2 linked regions of the Anolis sagrei genome follow. The protein of the gene in region 1 purifies or fractionates together with the protein of each later gene. This does not show direct contact. Links are inferred from orthologs where the notes say so. Each region holds a gene or a part of one and is shown on either strand. Other genes may lie near its edges.

What was found. The genes of interacting proteins can lie anywhere in the genome.
Region 2: the proteins of PSMD7 (region 1) and PAAF1 purify together in Homo sapiens (affinity purification with mass spectrometry; 5 studies listed by BioGRID and IntAct, counting the BioPlex papers as one, with this or other methods). This does not show direct contact. The link is inferred for Anolis sagrei from reciprocal best matches to the Homo sapiens genes PSMD7 and PAAF1.

Annotation. Positions count from the first base shown.
Region 1 is NC_090028.1:28,959,013-28,966,011, reverse strand, and holds the start of PSMD7 (26S proteasome non-ATPase regulatory subunit 7), read left to right. Parts: upstream 1-3,914; 5' UTR 3,915-4,018; coding exon 4,019-4,095; intron 4,096-6,999.
Region 2 is NC_090023.1:5,724,569-5,731,965, reverse strand, and holds the start of PAAF1 (proteasomal ATPase-associated factor 1), read left to right. Parts: upstream 1-4,382; 5' UTR 4,383-4,386; coding exon 4,387-4,466; intron 4,467-5,829; coding exon 5,830-5,870; intron 5,871-6,208; coding exon 6,209-6,312; intron 6,313-7,397. Other genes in the region: COA4 (cytochrome c oxidase assembly factor 4 homolog, mitochondrial), read right to left, coding at 2,845-3,111. UniProt on the Homo sapiens protein: Inhibits proteasome 26S assembly and proteolytic activity by impairing the association of the 19S regulatory complex with the 20S core.

The sequences.
Region 1 (6,999 bases):
GTGTTGGTGCAAGAAGGTCCTCCATTGTGCATGTGGCGGGGTTCAGGGTGCATTGCAGCAGATGGTCAGTGGTTTGCTCTTCTCCACACTCGCATGCCGAGGATTCCACTTTGTGGCCCCATTTCTGAAGGTTGGTTCTGCATCTCATGGTGCCAGAGCGCAGTCTGTTCAGCGCCTTCCAAGTCGCCCAGTCTTCTGTGTGCCCAGGGGGGAGTCTCTCATTTGGTATCAGCCATTAATTGAGGTGCTGGGTTTGAGCCTGCCACTTTTGGACTCTCACTTGCTGGGGTGTTCCAGCAAGTGTCTCTGTAGATCTTAGAAAACTATTTTTAGATTTAAGTCGTTGACGTGCTGGCTGATACCCAAACAGGGGATGAGTTGGAGATATCTCTGCCTTGGTCCTTTCACTATTGGCTGCTACTTCCCAGCGGATGACAGGTGGTGCAATATCGGCTAAGCAGTGTAATTTCAGCCAGTGGTGGAGGGCGCAGACACCCCGTGATAATGCGGCATGTCTCATTAAGAGCCACATCCACTGTTTTAGCGTGGTGAGATGTGTTCCACACTGGGCATGCGTACTCAGCAGCAGAGTAGCACAGCGCAAGGGCAGATATCTTCACTTTGTCTGGTTGTGATCCCCAGGTTGTGCCAGTCAGCTTTCGTATATTATTTCTAGCGCTCACTTTTTGCTTGATGTTCAGGCAGTGCTTCTTGTAGGTCAGGCAGTGCTTCTTGTAGATGTGGGTGAAACATCAGGAGAGAATGCTTCTGGAACATGGTCATGTTGTTCATTCGTTCAGTCGTCTCTGACTCTTTGTGACCTCATGGACCAGCCCACGCCAGAGCTCCCTGTCAGCCGTCACGACTCCCAGCTCCTTCAAGGTCAGTCCAGTCACTTCAAGGATGCCGTCCATCCATCTTGCCCTTGGTCGGCCCCTCTTCCTTTTGCCTTCCACTTTCCCCGGCATAATTGTCTTCTCTAGGCTTTGCTGTCTCCTCATGATGTGGCCAAAGTACTTCAACTTTGTCTCTAGTATCCTTCCCTCCAATGAGCAGTCGGGCTTTATTTCCTGGAGGATGGACTGGTTGGATCTTCTCGCAGTCCAAGGCACTCTCAGAACTTTTCTCCAACACCACAGTTCAGAAGCATCGATCTTCCTTCGCTCAGCCTTCCCTAAAGTCCAGCTCTCACATCCGTAGGTGACTACAGGGAATACCATGGCTTTGACTATGCGGATCTTTGTTGCCAGTCTGATGTCTCTACTCTTTACTATTTTATCGAGACTGGACATTGCTCTCCTCTCAAGAAGTAAGCGTCTTCTGATTTCCTGGCCACAGTCTGCATCTGCCGTAATCTTTGCACCTAGACATACAAAGTCTGTCACGGCCTCCACATTTTCTCCCTCTATTTCCCAGTTGTCAATCATTCTTGTTGCCATAATCTTGGGTTTTTTGACGTTTAGCTGCAACCCAGCTTTTGCGCTTTCTTCTTTCACCTTGATTAGAAGGCTCCTCGGCTCCTCCTCACTTTTGGCCATCAGAGTGGTGTCATCTGCATATCTAAGGTTGTTAATGTTTCTTCCAGCAATTTTCACCCCAGCCTTGCATTCATCAAGCCCCGCACATTGCATGATGTGTTCTGTATGCAAGTTAAATAGATTGGGGGAGAGTATACAACCCTGCCATACTCCTTTCCCAATCTTGAACCAGTCTGTTGTTCCATGGTCAGTTCTGACTGTTGCTCCTTGGTCCTTATACAGATTCTTCAGGAGAGAGACAAGGTGGCTTGGTATGCCCATCCCACCAAGAACTTGCCATAATGTATTATAATCCACACAGTCAAAGGCTTTAGAGTAGTCAATGAAGCAGAAGTAGATGTTTTTCTGAAACTCCCTGCCTTTCTCCATTATCCAGCGGATATTGGCAATCTGGTCTCTGGTTCCTCTGCCTTTTCTAAACCCAGCTTGAACGTCTGGCAACTCTTGCTCCATGTATTGCTGGAGTCTTCCTTGCAGGATCTTGAGCATTCCCTTACTGGCATGAGAAATAAGGGCCACTGTACGGAAGTTTGAGCAGTCTTTCGCATTTCCCTTTTTTGGTATGGAGATATAAGTCGATTTTTTCCAGTCTGATGGCCATTCTTGTGTTTCCCATATTTGCTGGAACATGGTCATACAGCCCAGAAAACTCACAGCAACCCATTTTTCATGATAATTTCTCTTCATAAGGTTTAGCCTTCTCGGTGTGAAATACCACTTTCAAATTAATTTAGAATCATTTCCTTTCATTCTAATTGACATGTTTTAATGGTCTTGCTTTCCATATCCATTCCCATTCTTTGTTGTTTTTATTCTTACTTCTTCCTCCCAGAATTCTCTTAATGTTAGTTTTTTGTCGCCCCCCCCCTTCCTGTATCCTTAATTAATATAAAATGATAACTATGATAACAATGATAACAATGATAACAAGCTACCTATCTGACCGCATCTCTGCCTATGAACCCACCAGGACTTTGAGATCTTCCAGGGAGGCCCTGCTCTCGATCCCACCTGCTTCTCAAGCTCGGCTGGCGGGGACGAGAGATAGGGCCTTCTCGGTGGTGGCTCCTCGGCTGTGGAACGCCCTTCCTACGGACATTAGACTAGCACCATCTCTAATGGTATTCTACAAAAAAGTGAAGACCTGGCTGTTTGAGCAGGTGTTCCAATAATTAGTGCAATGATTGGTTAATGAACACTGGAATGGAACAATGGATGACGAATCTGGAACATGTTTTTGATGACGAGACGACAGTGAACGGGTACTGTAGTAACTGTTTATTAATTGTGTAATGTGTTAGGTTGTTAACTGTTTCTATACTGTTTTGTTGTTCATTCGTTCAGTTGTCTCCGACTCTTCGTGACCTCATGGACCAGCCCACGCCAGAGCTCCCTGTCGGCCGTCACCACCCCCAGCTCCTTCAAGGTCAGTCCAGTCACTTCAAGGATGCCGTCCATCCATCTTGCCCTTGGTCGGCCCCTCTTCCTTTTGCCTTCCACTTTCCCCGGCATAATTGTCTTCTCCAGGCTTTGCTGTCTCCTCATGATGTGGCCAAAGTACTTCAACTTTGTCTCTAGTATCCTTCCTTCCAGTGAGCAGCCGGGCTTTATTTCCTGGAGGATGGACTGGTTGGATCTTCTCGCAGTCCAAGGCACTCTCGGAGCTTTCCTCCAGCACCACAGCTCAAAAGCATCGATCTTCCTTCGCTCAGCCTTCCCTAAGGTCCATCTCTCACATCCGTAGGTGACTACAGGGAATACCATGGCTTTGACTAGGCAATGGATCTTGGTTGCCAGTCTGATGTCTCTACTCTTTACTATTTTATCGAGACTGGACATTGCTCTCCTCCCAAGAAGTAAGCGTCTTCTGATTTCCTGGCCACAGTCTCCATCTGCAGTAATCTTTGCACCTAGAAATACAAAGTCTGTCATGGCCTTCACATTTTCTCCCTCTATTTCCCAGTTGTCAATCATTCTATACTGTAGCACTGAATATTTGCTGTTCGTATTTGTTGTGAACCGCTGTGAGTCGCCTTCGGGCTGAGAACAGCGGTATATAAGTAAGATAAATAAATAAATAAATAAATAAATAAACTAGTCAAACTAATCAGAAAGTATTTACAGAGTGTTCCTTGCAAGGCCTCTTGTGTTTTGTCCCTCCCTCTGCCCACTGGGCCTCTCAAAATGGCCGCCCCCTCCATTGGCCCTTCCCAAGATGGCGCCTCCTCTGCCAGGAGAGTCGGGAGGAAAAGGCAAAAATGCCTCTCGCCCTTCTCAAGATGGAGGCGCACAGTTCTGACGTCTCCAAGATGGCGGAACGCAGCTTGGGCGGACCTTCTACCCGTCGGCCCCTGCGCTGCCTTACTCACGCCGTGCGCGACGCCTGGAGGCGCAGTGCATGCTGGGATTAAGGCGACCGCCGGCGAGTGAGGCGCAAAAAAAGAAGTCCTGTCGGTTCGGACTCGGGAAGCGGCGCGAGGATGCCTCCGGACCTGGCCGTGGAGCGGGTGGTGGTCCACCCCCTGGTGCTGCTCAGCGTCGTCGACCATTTCAACCGGTGAGAGAGCCTCAGGGGGGGAAAAGAGGCGGAAGGGCTGAGTCACGGCCCTCAAGTAGCATTTCCCTCAGGCCTGGTCCAGCTTGGGCCTTATTATTATCATTATTATTATTATAGCATCTCCCGAGGGATTCGATGCGGCTTACACAGGCCAAAGCCTCAAAAAACACAATACAACAATACAATAACCAAGCAAATTAAAAACAGTTAAGCAGGAAAACAATAACAGTGACAATACAACAAAACACTATTAAAACTGGGCCGGCCAAAATAGGGGTACAGGGTTAAAAGTGCTGATGTGGCAGGAGGGATGTTGGGTTAAATATAAGTGCGGTGTGCAGTGATCTTGGTTCTACTAAGGTGCTTCTAGGATTTGGTACTGGAGGTTCCTAATCTGAAAAGGCACATCGGAACAGCCAGGTTTTCAGTTCCTTCCTGAAGACTGCCAGCGTAGGGGCTTGTCTAAGATCTTTCGGGAGGGCGTTCCAGAGTCGGGGGGCCACTACAGAAAAGGCCCTGTCTTGTGTCCCCACCAAGCACGCTTGCGACGCAGGCAGGATCACGAGCAGGGCCTCTCCAGATGACCGTAGTGAGCGTGTGGGTTCGTAGACAGCGATGCGGTCACGCAGGTAGGGTGGTCCCAAACCGTTCAGGGCTTTGTAGGTGAGCACCTGCACCTTAAATTGGGCTCGGATTGGGCCAGGGGTTTTGGACTCCAATTCCCACAATTCCTGACAGCCTACGGGCTGCAGACAGGGTTACAGCCTGTGTTAGACGGGGTTCCACTCCCCCTGAAGGCGCAGGTTATTATTATTAATAATAATTATTATTAAACTTTATTTGTACCCTGCTAGCATCTCTCGAAGGACTCGATGCGACTTACAAAGGCCAAGGCCTCAACACACAGCATAACAGTACAAAACCTAAGGCAAATTAAAAACAATTAAAGCAATATAAACAACAAGCAATAAACAATACACTAAGACACAATAAAACTGGGCCGGGCCAGAGTAATGGGTACAGGATTAAAAGTGCTGATGTGACAGGAGGTATGTAGGATTATAGGGCAAGTGCAGTGTGCGGTGTGCAACAATCTTAGTTTTAATAAAGTGCTTCTGGGACTTGGTATTGGAGATTTCCTATTCTGGGAAGGCAGATCGGAACAGCCAGGTCTTCAAGTTCATTCTGAAGACTGCCAGTGTAGGGGCCTGTCTAAGATCTTTCGCAGCTTGGGAGTGATCCTGGACTCATAGCTGAGCCTGGAACCCCAGGTCTCGGCAGTGGCCAGGAGAGCTTTTGCACAATTAAAACTTGTACACCAGCTGCGCCTGTACCTTGGGAAGTCGGATCTGGCCACGGTGGTCCACACTCTTGTTACATCCTGGATAGATTACCGCAACACACTCTACGTGGGGTTGCCTTTGAAGACTGTTCAGAAACTTCAATTAGTCCAGCGGGCGGCAGCCAGATTACTCACCGGAGCATCATACAGGGAGCACACCCCCCCCCCCCTGTTATGTCAGCTCCACTGGCTGCCAATCCAGTTCCAAACACAATTCAAAGTGCTGGTTTTGACCTACAAAACCCTTTGCGGCTCCGGCCCAGTGTACCTGTGTGAACGTATCTCCTTCTATGTCCCACCTTGGAGTTTATTATTTATTATTATTATTATTAGATGAACAAAATCTGGCTACCAGTATTAAAAAACTCAAAAATTACAACAGCAAAACAACAGAGGGGAAACAAACAGGCACATAAAATCACTCTCAACAAGAGATTCCCCCCAGGTGATTCCAGGCCATTGAATGCAAATCAAGGTGATCAGCTGAAACATTACCCTGGTCATTCCACAGATCTATAAACCCATTTTTCCTACCTCCAACAGACCTCACTACCTCTGAGGATGCTTGCCATAGATGCAGGCGAAGCGTCAGGAGAAAAATTGCCTCCAGAACATGGCCATATAGCCCAGAAAAACCTACAACCCATTATTAACTTTATTTGTACCCCGCTAGCATCTCCCGAGCCCCTGGTGGCGCAGTGGGTTAAAGCACTGAGCTGCCGAGCTTGTTGACCGAAAGGTCGCATGTTCGATTCCGGGGAGCGTTGTGAGCTTCCACTGTCAGCCCTAGCTTCTGCCAACCTAGCAGTTCGAAAACATGCAAATGTGAGTAGATCAATAGGTACCGCTCCAGCGGGAAGGTAACGGCGCTCCATGCAGTCATGCCGGCCACATGATCTTGTAGGTGTCTACGGACAACGCTGGCTCTTCGGCTTAGAAATGGAGATGAGCACCACACCCCAGAGTCAGACATGACTGGACTTAATGTCAGGGGACTACCTTTACCTTTACTAGCATCTCCCGAAGGACTCAATGCGGCTTACAAAGGCCAAGGCCTCAATACACAACATAACAATACAAAACCTAAAGCAAATGAAAAACAATTAAAGCAATATTAAACAACAAAACAATAAACAATACACCAAAATGCAATAAAACTGGGCCGGGCCAGAGTAATGGGTACAGAATTAAAAGTGCTGATGTGACATGTGGTATATAAGGCTTATAGGGTAAGTGCAGTGTGCGGCAATTTTAGTTCTAATAAAGTGCTTCTGGGACTTGGTATTGGAGATTTCCTATTCTGGGAAGGCACATCGGAACAGCCAGGTCTTCAAGTTCTTTCTGAAGACTGCCAATGTAGGGGCCTGTCTAAGATCTTTGGTGAGGGTGTTCCAGAGTCGGTGGGCCACCACAGAAAAGGCCCTGTCTCGTGTCCCTACCAAACGCGCTTGCGACACAGGCGGGATCACGAGCAGGGCCTCTCCAGATGACCGAAGTGAACACTTGGGTTCATTTAAGATCTTCCGGGGAGGCCCTGCTCTCGGCCCCACCTTTATCACAAG
Region 2 (7,397 bases), on another chromosome or scaffold:
ATTGTGTCCAAATTTGGTGTCAATTCGCCCACTGGTTTTTGAGTTCTGTTAATCCCACAAACAAACATTACATTTTTATTTATATAGACTAGCTTATGTACCTGGCGATGCCCAGATTGGGCTTTTGTAAAGATAAACTTTAGAACTGGTCATTATTTGGCTTTGGGTTTTATGAATGGACCCACTGCAAAGTGTGCAAGGATATGAGTGAAGTACAACTCCCATCATTCGGCATCAGTTTGCCCCGCTTACTAATATTTACAGCTCAGCCGTTCTCAACCTGGGGGTCGCGACCACCAGGGGGGTCATTTGGCCATTTAGGAGGGGTCATAAAGCTATCTCCTTTGGCCGCACCCCCTTCACCTGCTCAAACTGGCCGCCTCCCTTGATGGCTTTTGCTGCGTGCCGGCCGACAGGGGTGCGAGCAAGGCGAAGGCTCCACACAAGGCACAGGAACAGAATTCAAAACGATCTTGACAGATTAGAGAGATGGGCCAAAACTAACAAAATGAAGTTCAACAGGGACAAATGCAAGATACTCCACTTAGGCAGAAAAAACAAAATGCAAAGATACAGAATGGGGGACAATGCCTGGCTCGAGAGCAGTACGTGTGAAAAAGATCTTGGAGTCCTCGTGGACAACAAGTTAAACATGAGCCAGGAATGTGATGTGGCGGCAAAAAAAGCCAATGGGATTTTGGCCTGCATCAATAGGAGCCTAGTGTCTAGATCTAGGGAAGTCACACTACCCCTCTATTCTGCTTTGGTTAGACCACACCTGGAATATTGTGTCCAATTCTGGGCACCACAATTCAAGAGAGATATTGACAAGCTGGAATGTGTCCAGAGGAGGGCGACTAAAATGATCAAGGGTCTGGAGAACAAGTCCTATGAGGAGCGGCTTAAGGAGCTGGGCATGTTTAGCCTGAAGAAGAGAAGGCTGAGAGGAGATATGATATCCATGTATAAATATGTGAGAGGAAGCCACAGGGAGGAGGGAGCAAGCTTGTTTTCTGCTTCCTTGGAGACTAGGACGCAATGGAACAATGGCTTCAAACTACAAGAGAGGAGATTCCAACTGAACATTAGGAAGAACTTCCTGACTGGGAGAGCCGTTCAGCAGTGGAACTCTCTGCCCCGGAGTGTGGTGGAGGCTCCTTCTTTGGAAGCTTTTAAACAGGGGCTGGATGGTCATCTGTCAGGGGTGATTTGAATGCAATATTCCTGCTTCTTGGCAGAATGGGGTTGGACTGGATGGCCCAGGAGGTCTCTTCCAACTCTTTGATTCTATGATTCTAAGGCCTGGCCTTGTGCGGAGCATCCTTCACCTGTCTTTCACCACATGCCAAGCCAGCACGGCCACGAGCCAGGCAAGGGCTTCACACAAGGCCTGGCCTTGTGCGAAGCCTCCCTTGCCTGGCTCTCTCCGTTTGCTGGCTGGTGGGGCCCCGAGCCAGACGAAGGCTCCTTAAAAGGCTAGGCCACGTGGTGGAACCTCCATTGCCAGGCTCTCACTGCCTGCTGGGCTCAGCAATGGCGTGAGCCTCCCCGCCAGACCCGGGCCCCTCCAGAATGCTCCAAGCAACTGCAACTCCCAAATGTCAAGGTATTTATATTTTCCCCAATATTTTCTGTTGGTCATGGGAGTTCTGTATGCCAGGTTTGGTTCAATTCCATGGTTGTTGGAGTTCAGAATGCTCTTTAATGGCAGGGGAACTATAACTCCAAGCAACTGCAACTCTCAAATGTCAATATGTATTTCACCCAAACTTCTCCAGTATTTTCTGTTGGTCATAGGATAATAATTAGATTTAGCTAAAACTAAGCAGCTAACTAACCACTACAACAGTGTTTCTCAACCTGGGGGTCGGGACCCCTGGGGGGGGTTGCGATGGGGTGTTGGAGGGGTTGCCAAAGATCATCAGGATACACAGTATTTTCTGCTGGTCATGCAAGTTCTGTGTGGGAAGTCTGGCCCAATTCTATCGTTGGTGGGGTTCAGAATGCTCTCTGATTGTAGGTGAACTATAAATCCCAGCAATTACAACTCCCAAATGTCAAGGTCTATTTTCCCCAAACTCCCAACAGAGTTCACATTTGGGCATATTGAGTATTCGTGCCAAGTTTAGTCCAGATCTATCATTGTTTGAGTCCACAGTGCTTTCTGGAGATAGGTGAACTACAACTCCCAAACTCAAGGCCAATGCTCACCTAACCCTTTCATTATTTTTTTGCTGGTCATGGGCGTTCTGTGTGCCAAGATTGGGTCAATTCCATCTCTGGTGTAGTTCAGAATGTTCTTTGATTGTAGGTGAACTATAAATCCCAGCAACTACAACTCCCAAGGTCCAGAGAATGAAAATACATTCACCTGTCAGATATTTACATGACAATTCATAACAATAGCAAAATTCCAGTTATGAAGTAGCAACAAAAATAATTTTAGGGTTGGGGGTCATCACAACATGAGGAACTATACAAAGGGGTCGCAGTGTTAGGAAGGTTGAGAACCACTGCTCTACAACTTACAACAAAACTACATCAAGTGAACATATACAACAAAATTACATACAGCTGTTAGGAACTCTGTGAGTTGAAGTCCAAAACACCGGATGGGCCAAAGTTTGCCAATGCCTAGTGTATTGCATAAAGAAAAGCAAGAAAATACTACTTTCATGTTTGTTTATTGTGCAAGAGAATATATCCTATTGCTCCTTTTGGAATCAAATATTGTATAATGGTATGCATGATAGAAAAAGAGTGCACATTTTGCCAGGATTAGGCCCCACAAGTCTCTGTTTGAAATAGGCACATGTTTCTGGTGCCTTGCGAAAGAATGTCTCTTCAGCCGGGGGCCTGGTGCATCTCCCGCCGCCTCCGATACTCTTCCGCTTGCTTCTTCTGGTGCTCCTTCATGCATTCCTTGAAGCCCTGCACTTGTGGCTGGCATTTCCTCCAGTCTTGGTGCTCCGCCATGCACTCCTGCACTGCGTAGTGGAAAGAGGCGCATCCGGTGCGGGCAATCATGCTGTCAAAAGCATCCTCCTCGCCTTCCTCCTCTTCTTTCGGTTTCCGGCTCCAATTGTGACCAGGGGGCTTGGCACCGGACATACTATGGAATCTGGAGGACACAATAAAAGTTATTAATCATCACCAACCACACTCTGTAACATGATTTTTGTTCCTAATTTCATAATTGGTTCTATCATAAAAACATGGAGAAAGTTTATAAAACTGCTAAAACTTTGTTTCTGCGGGAGGGACATCCTGCAGCAGCACATTTTGCTCTAGTTTTCCAGTGGATCTCATAGCATCTCAACCAATTCAACCTCAAAAAAGTTTCTGGAGTAGAATTACTAATTTCAAAGTAAGGGCCACACAACTAAACAGGAAATAATAACACGTTCAAACCAGGAACAGAAACGTTTTCAAATTTTGTACATAGTGTGATAATAATAATTCTCTCCTTCACTCACTCTGTCTTTATATAGGCACATTCAAGCTATCTGTCAGGTTATGGTATATTTTATATACATATAATATTTATAATATTTTAATGTAATACAATATAATACTAGTAAAAATAATTCCAATTTTGTGCCATCTACAAATCTGATTAGCATTGGCTTGTAAGTTTTCTGGGCTGTCCGGCCATGTTCCAGAAGCATTCTCTCCTGACGTTTCGCCTGCATCTATGGCAGGCATACAATATAATACTAGTAATAATAATTCCAATTTTGTGCCATCTACAAATCTGATTAGCATTGGCTTGTAAGTTTTCCGGGCTGTCTGGCCATGTTCCAGAAGCATTCTCTCCTGACGTTTCGCCTGCATCTATGGCAGGCATACAATATAATACTAGTAATAATAATTCCAATTTTGTGCCATCTACAAATCTGATTAGCATTGGCTTGTAAGTTTTCCGGGCTGTCTGGCCATGTTCCAGAAGCATTCTCTCCTGACGTTTCGCCTGCATCTATAGATGCAGGCGAAACGTCAGGAGAGAATGCTTCTGGAACATGGCCAGACAGCCCGGAAAACTCACAGCAACCCAGTGAAATCCGGCCATGAAAGCCTTCGACAAAACACTGATCAGCATTTCTATTTAAAAGCATTATTTCCCAATCTTTGCTCCTCCAGGGCTTTTGGACTTCATCCCCCAGAATCCCTCCTTATTGTCCGCATCAGCTGAGGCTTCTGGGAAATGAAGTCCTGGAATAAGAGCGCTTGGGAGCCACGGTCCCTTTAAGCCTTAAAGGGACAGGAGCCCCTTTTCGGCCTTCTTGATTTGGCTGAAAGCCGCTCTCACCTTCCCTTCTTCTAGACTCAGCCGTGAGCGGAAACACTGCGGGGACTACTTCCGGGGTGGGGCTTTCCGTGACCAAGATGGCGGACGCCGCTTCGCAAGGCTTTTCCTCCGCTGCCGCCGTGGTCCGGATCCAGAGCGACTGGGACCAAGTCCTGAGGTGAGCCAGGAGGGGAGTAAGCCACGCCCCTTGGTCACAAGCCCCTCCCACCCAGGGAGGGCGCTCTGCCTAAAATGCTCCCTGTGTGCGTCGATTCTATCCTTCCCCCGGAATTGAGTGCTCCTGACACAAGGTTCCGGCCTCTTTTATACCCTCCTTTTTATTATTATTCGTTTTCTTTTTTCAGTTCTTTAAAGCTCTCAAACCTTATAATAATCCTGGGCCATTTGAAATTAGGTCACAGTCTAAAATAATATAAACATATACAGGGTTAGTCAAAATGCATAGGCCAATAAGCCATTCAATTGAATGGCTTGTATATATATTTGTCGTGCCAGGAGCGACTTGAGAAACTGCAAGTCGCTTCTGGTGTGAGAGAATTGGCCGTCTACAAGGATGTTGCCCAGGAGACGCCCGGATGATTTGATGTTTTTATCATCCTTGTGGGAGGCTTCTCTCATGTCCCCCGCATGAGGAGCTAGAGCTGACAGAGGGAGCTCATCCACCTCTCCCCGGATTCGAACCTGCAACCTGTCGGTCTTCAGTCCTGCCGGCACAGGGGTTTAACCCACTGCGCCACCGGGGCTCCACAAATAATATTATCATCCGATTATTGTGTCCAATTCTGGGCACCACAATTGAAGAGAAATATTGACAAGCTGGAATGTGTCCAGAGGAGGGCGACTAAAATGATCAAGGGTCTGGAGAACAAGCCCTATGAGGAGCGGCTTAAGAAGCTGGGCATGTTTAGCCTGAAGAAGAGAAGGCCGAGAGAAGATATGATAACCATTTATAAATATGTGAGAGGAAGCCACAGGGAGGAGGAGGGAGCAAGCTTGTTTTCCGCTTCCTTGGAGACTAGGACGCAATGGAACAATGGCTTCAAACTACAAGAGAGGAGATTCCATCTGAACATGAGGAAGAACTTCCTGACTGTGAGAGCCATTCAGCAGTGGAACTCTCTGCCCCGGAGTGTGGTGGAGGCTCCTTCTTTGGAAGCTTTTAAACAGAGGCTGGATAGCCACCTGTCAGGGGTGATTTGAATGCAATATTCCTACTTCTTGGCAGAAAGGGGTTGGACTGGATGGCCCAGGAGGTCTCTTCCAACTCTTTGATTCTATGAAATGTTGTAATTTATGAATTTGTTTTATACGGGTTAGGAACTGTGTAGTCTGTTTCTTTTTGTCGAATTTTATGTTAGTAATTTCTGCTGCTTTTAACTCTGTATGCCACTTTGAATCCCACCCATGGCAGAAAATCAGGATGATGATGATGATAATGATAGTGTCAGAAAGATTTGTTTATCCTTAGCCCTAGGAGTCCTATTGTGATCCTTTATACTGGTCTTTTGTTGCCATTGTAGGAAGAACGAGGAAGAGGCTTGGCTGAGTTGCAGGAGCCCAGGTGAGCAGTCAAAGAAGCTGGAAGGGGCTGCAAGGAACATCTAGTCCAATCCTGTTCTGCCATGCAAGAATGGATAGCCACAGTGCTCCTGAAAGAGGCCCATCCAAAGTTGGTTTAAGGGCCTTCAAGAATGATCAATTCACCGACTTCTAAGGCAGTCTATTCTACTACTGAACAACTCTTATAGTTTTTTAACCATAGTATAACAGTCATGCTTATGCCTTTAATCAGGCTATGCAAAACATGGATTATATGGCAGTATAGATGCAGCCTTGGTTGCTTAATAGTGCTTCACTCATCTCCTCCTCTTCCTCCTTTTGTGTGTTATTGTGATCTAGGAAAAGCAACTCTGTATGGCACGTTGACCTGTCGGGGAATCAACTCAGATGGAATTCCTGAAATCACAGCCTCCGAAGGCTTCACTGTTAGCGAAATAACAAAGGTACTTTCACATAGAGTTGGAAGGGACCCCCCCCCCCCCCCCCGAGTCATCCAGTCCAACCCCTTTCTGCCAGGCAGGAAGACACAATCCAAGCTCTCCTGGCAGATGGTCATCGAGTCTCTGTTGAAAAGTTTCCAGAGGAGAATCCATAAGACTCCCAGGCAGCAGTATGGAGACCTTGTTGAAATTCAGTGTACCTCTTAAATTTGCAAAAAGATAATACAGCACAATAGTGAAGGGACAAGTTCCCTCTTTGGATTGGTTAATGGGTTGGTTGCCCTGCATCCAATGGATAAAATATTGTTTTCTGTTGTTCTGCTTCTTGGGATTGCTTACAGTGCTAGTGTGCTGCTTACCTATTATTGTTAAATTCCTTCAAAATACTCTTAATTGCTTTATTGCTCAAGACCATGAGAGGAGAGCCTTCCTTGCATGTCTGAATGTTTGCCTTATATGTTGGAAACCACCCTTTGTGTGAGTCCCTTTGTGGAGATACGGCGGTATACACATAATGTTTTATTATATTAGAATCATAGAATCCAGTCCAACCCCATTCTGCCAAGAAGCAGGAATATTGCATTCAAAGCACCCCTGACAGATGGCCATCCAGCCTCTGTTTAAAAGCTTCCAAAGAAGGAGCCTCCACCACACTCCGGGGCAGAGAGTTCCACTGCTGAATGGCTCTCACAGTCGGGAAGTTCTTCCTCATGTTCAGATGGAATCTCCTCTCTTGTAGTTTGAAGCCATTGTATTGTTGAAGGTTTTCATGGCCAGAATCACTGGATTGTTGTGAGTTTTTTGGGCTGTATGGCCATGTGAGAGGAAACCACAGGGAGGAGGGAGCAAGCTTGTTTTCTGCTTCCCTGGAGACTAGGACGCGGAACAATGGCTTCAAACTACAAGAGAGGAGATTCCATCTGAACATGAGGAAGAACTTCTTCCAACTCTTTGATTTTATGATTCTATGTTCCATGAGCATTCTCTCCTGACATTTCGTCTGCATCTATGGTAGGCATCGTAGTTTCCAACAGACCTCACAACCTCTTAGGATGCCTACCATAGATGGAGGCGAAACATCAGGAGAG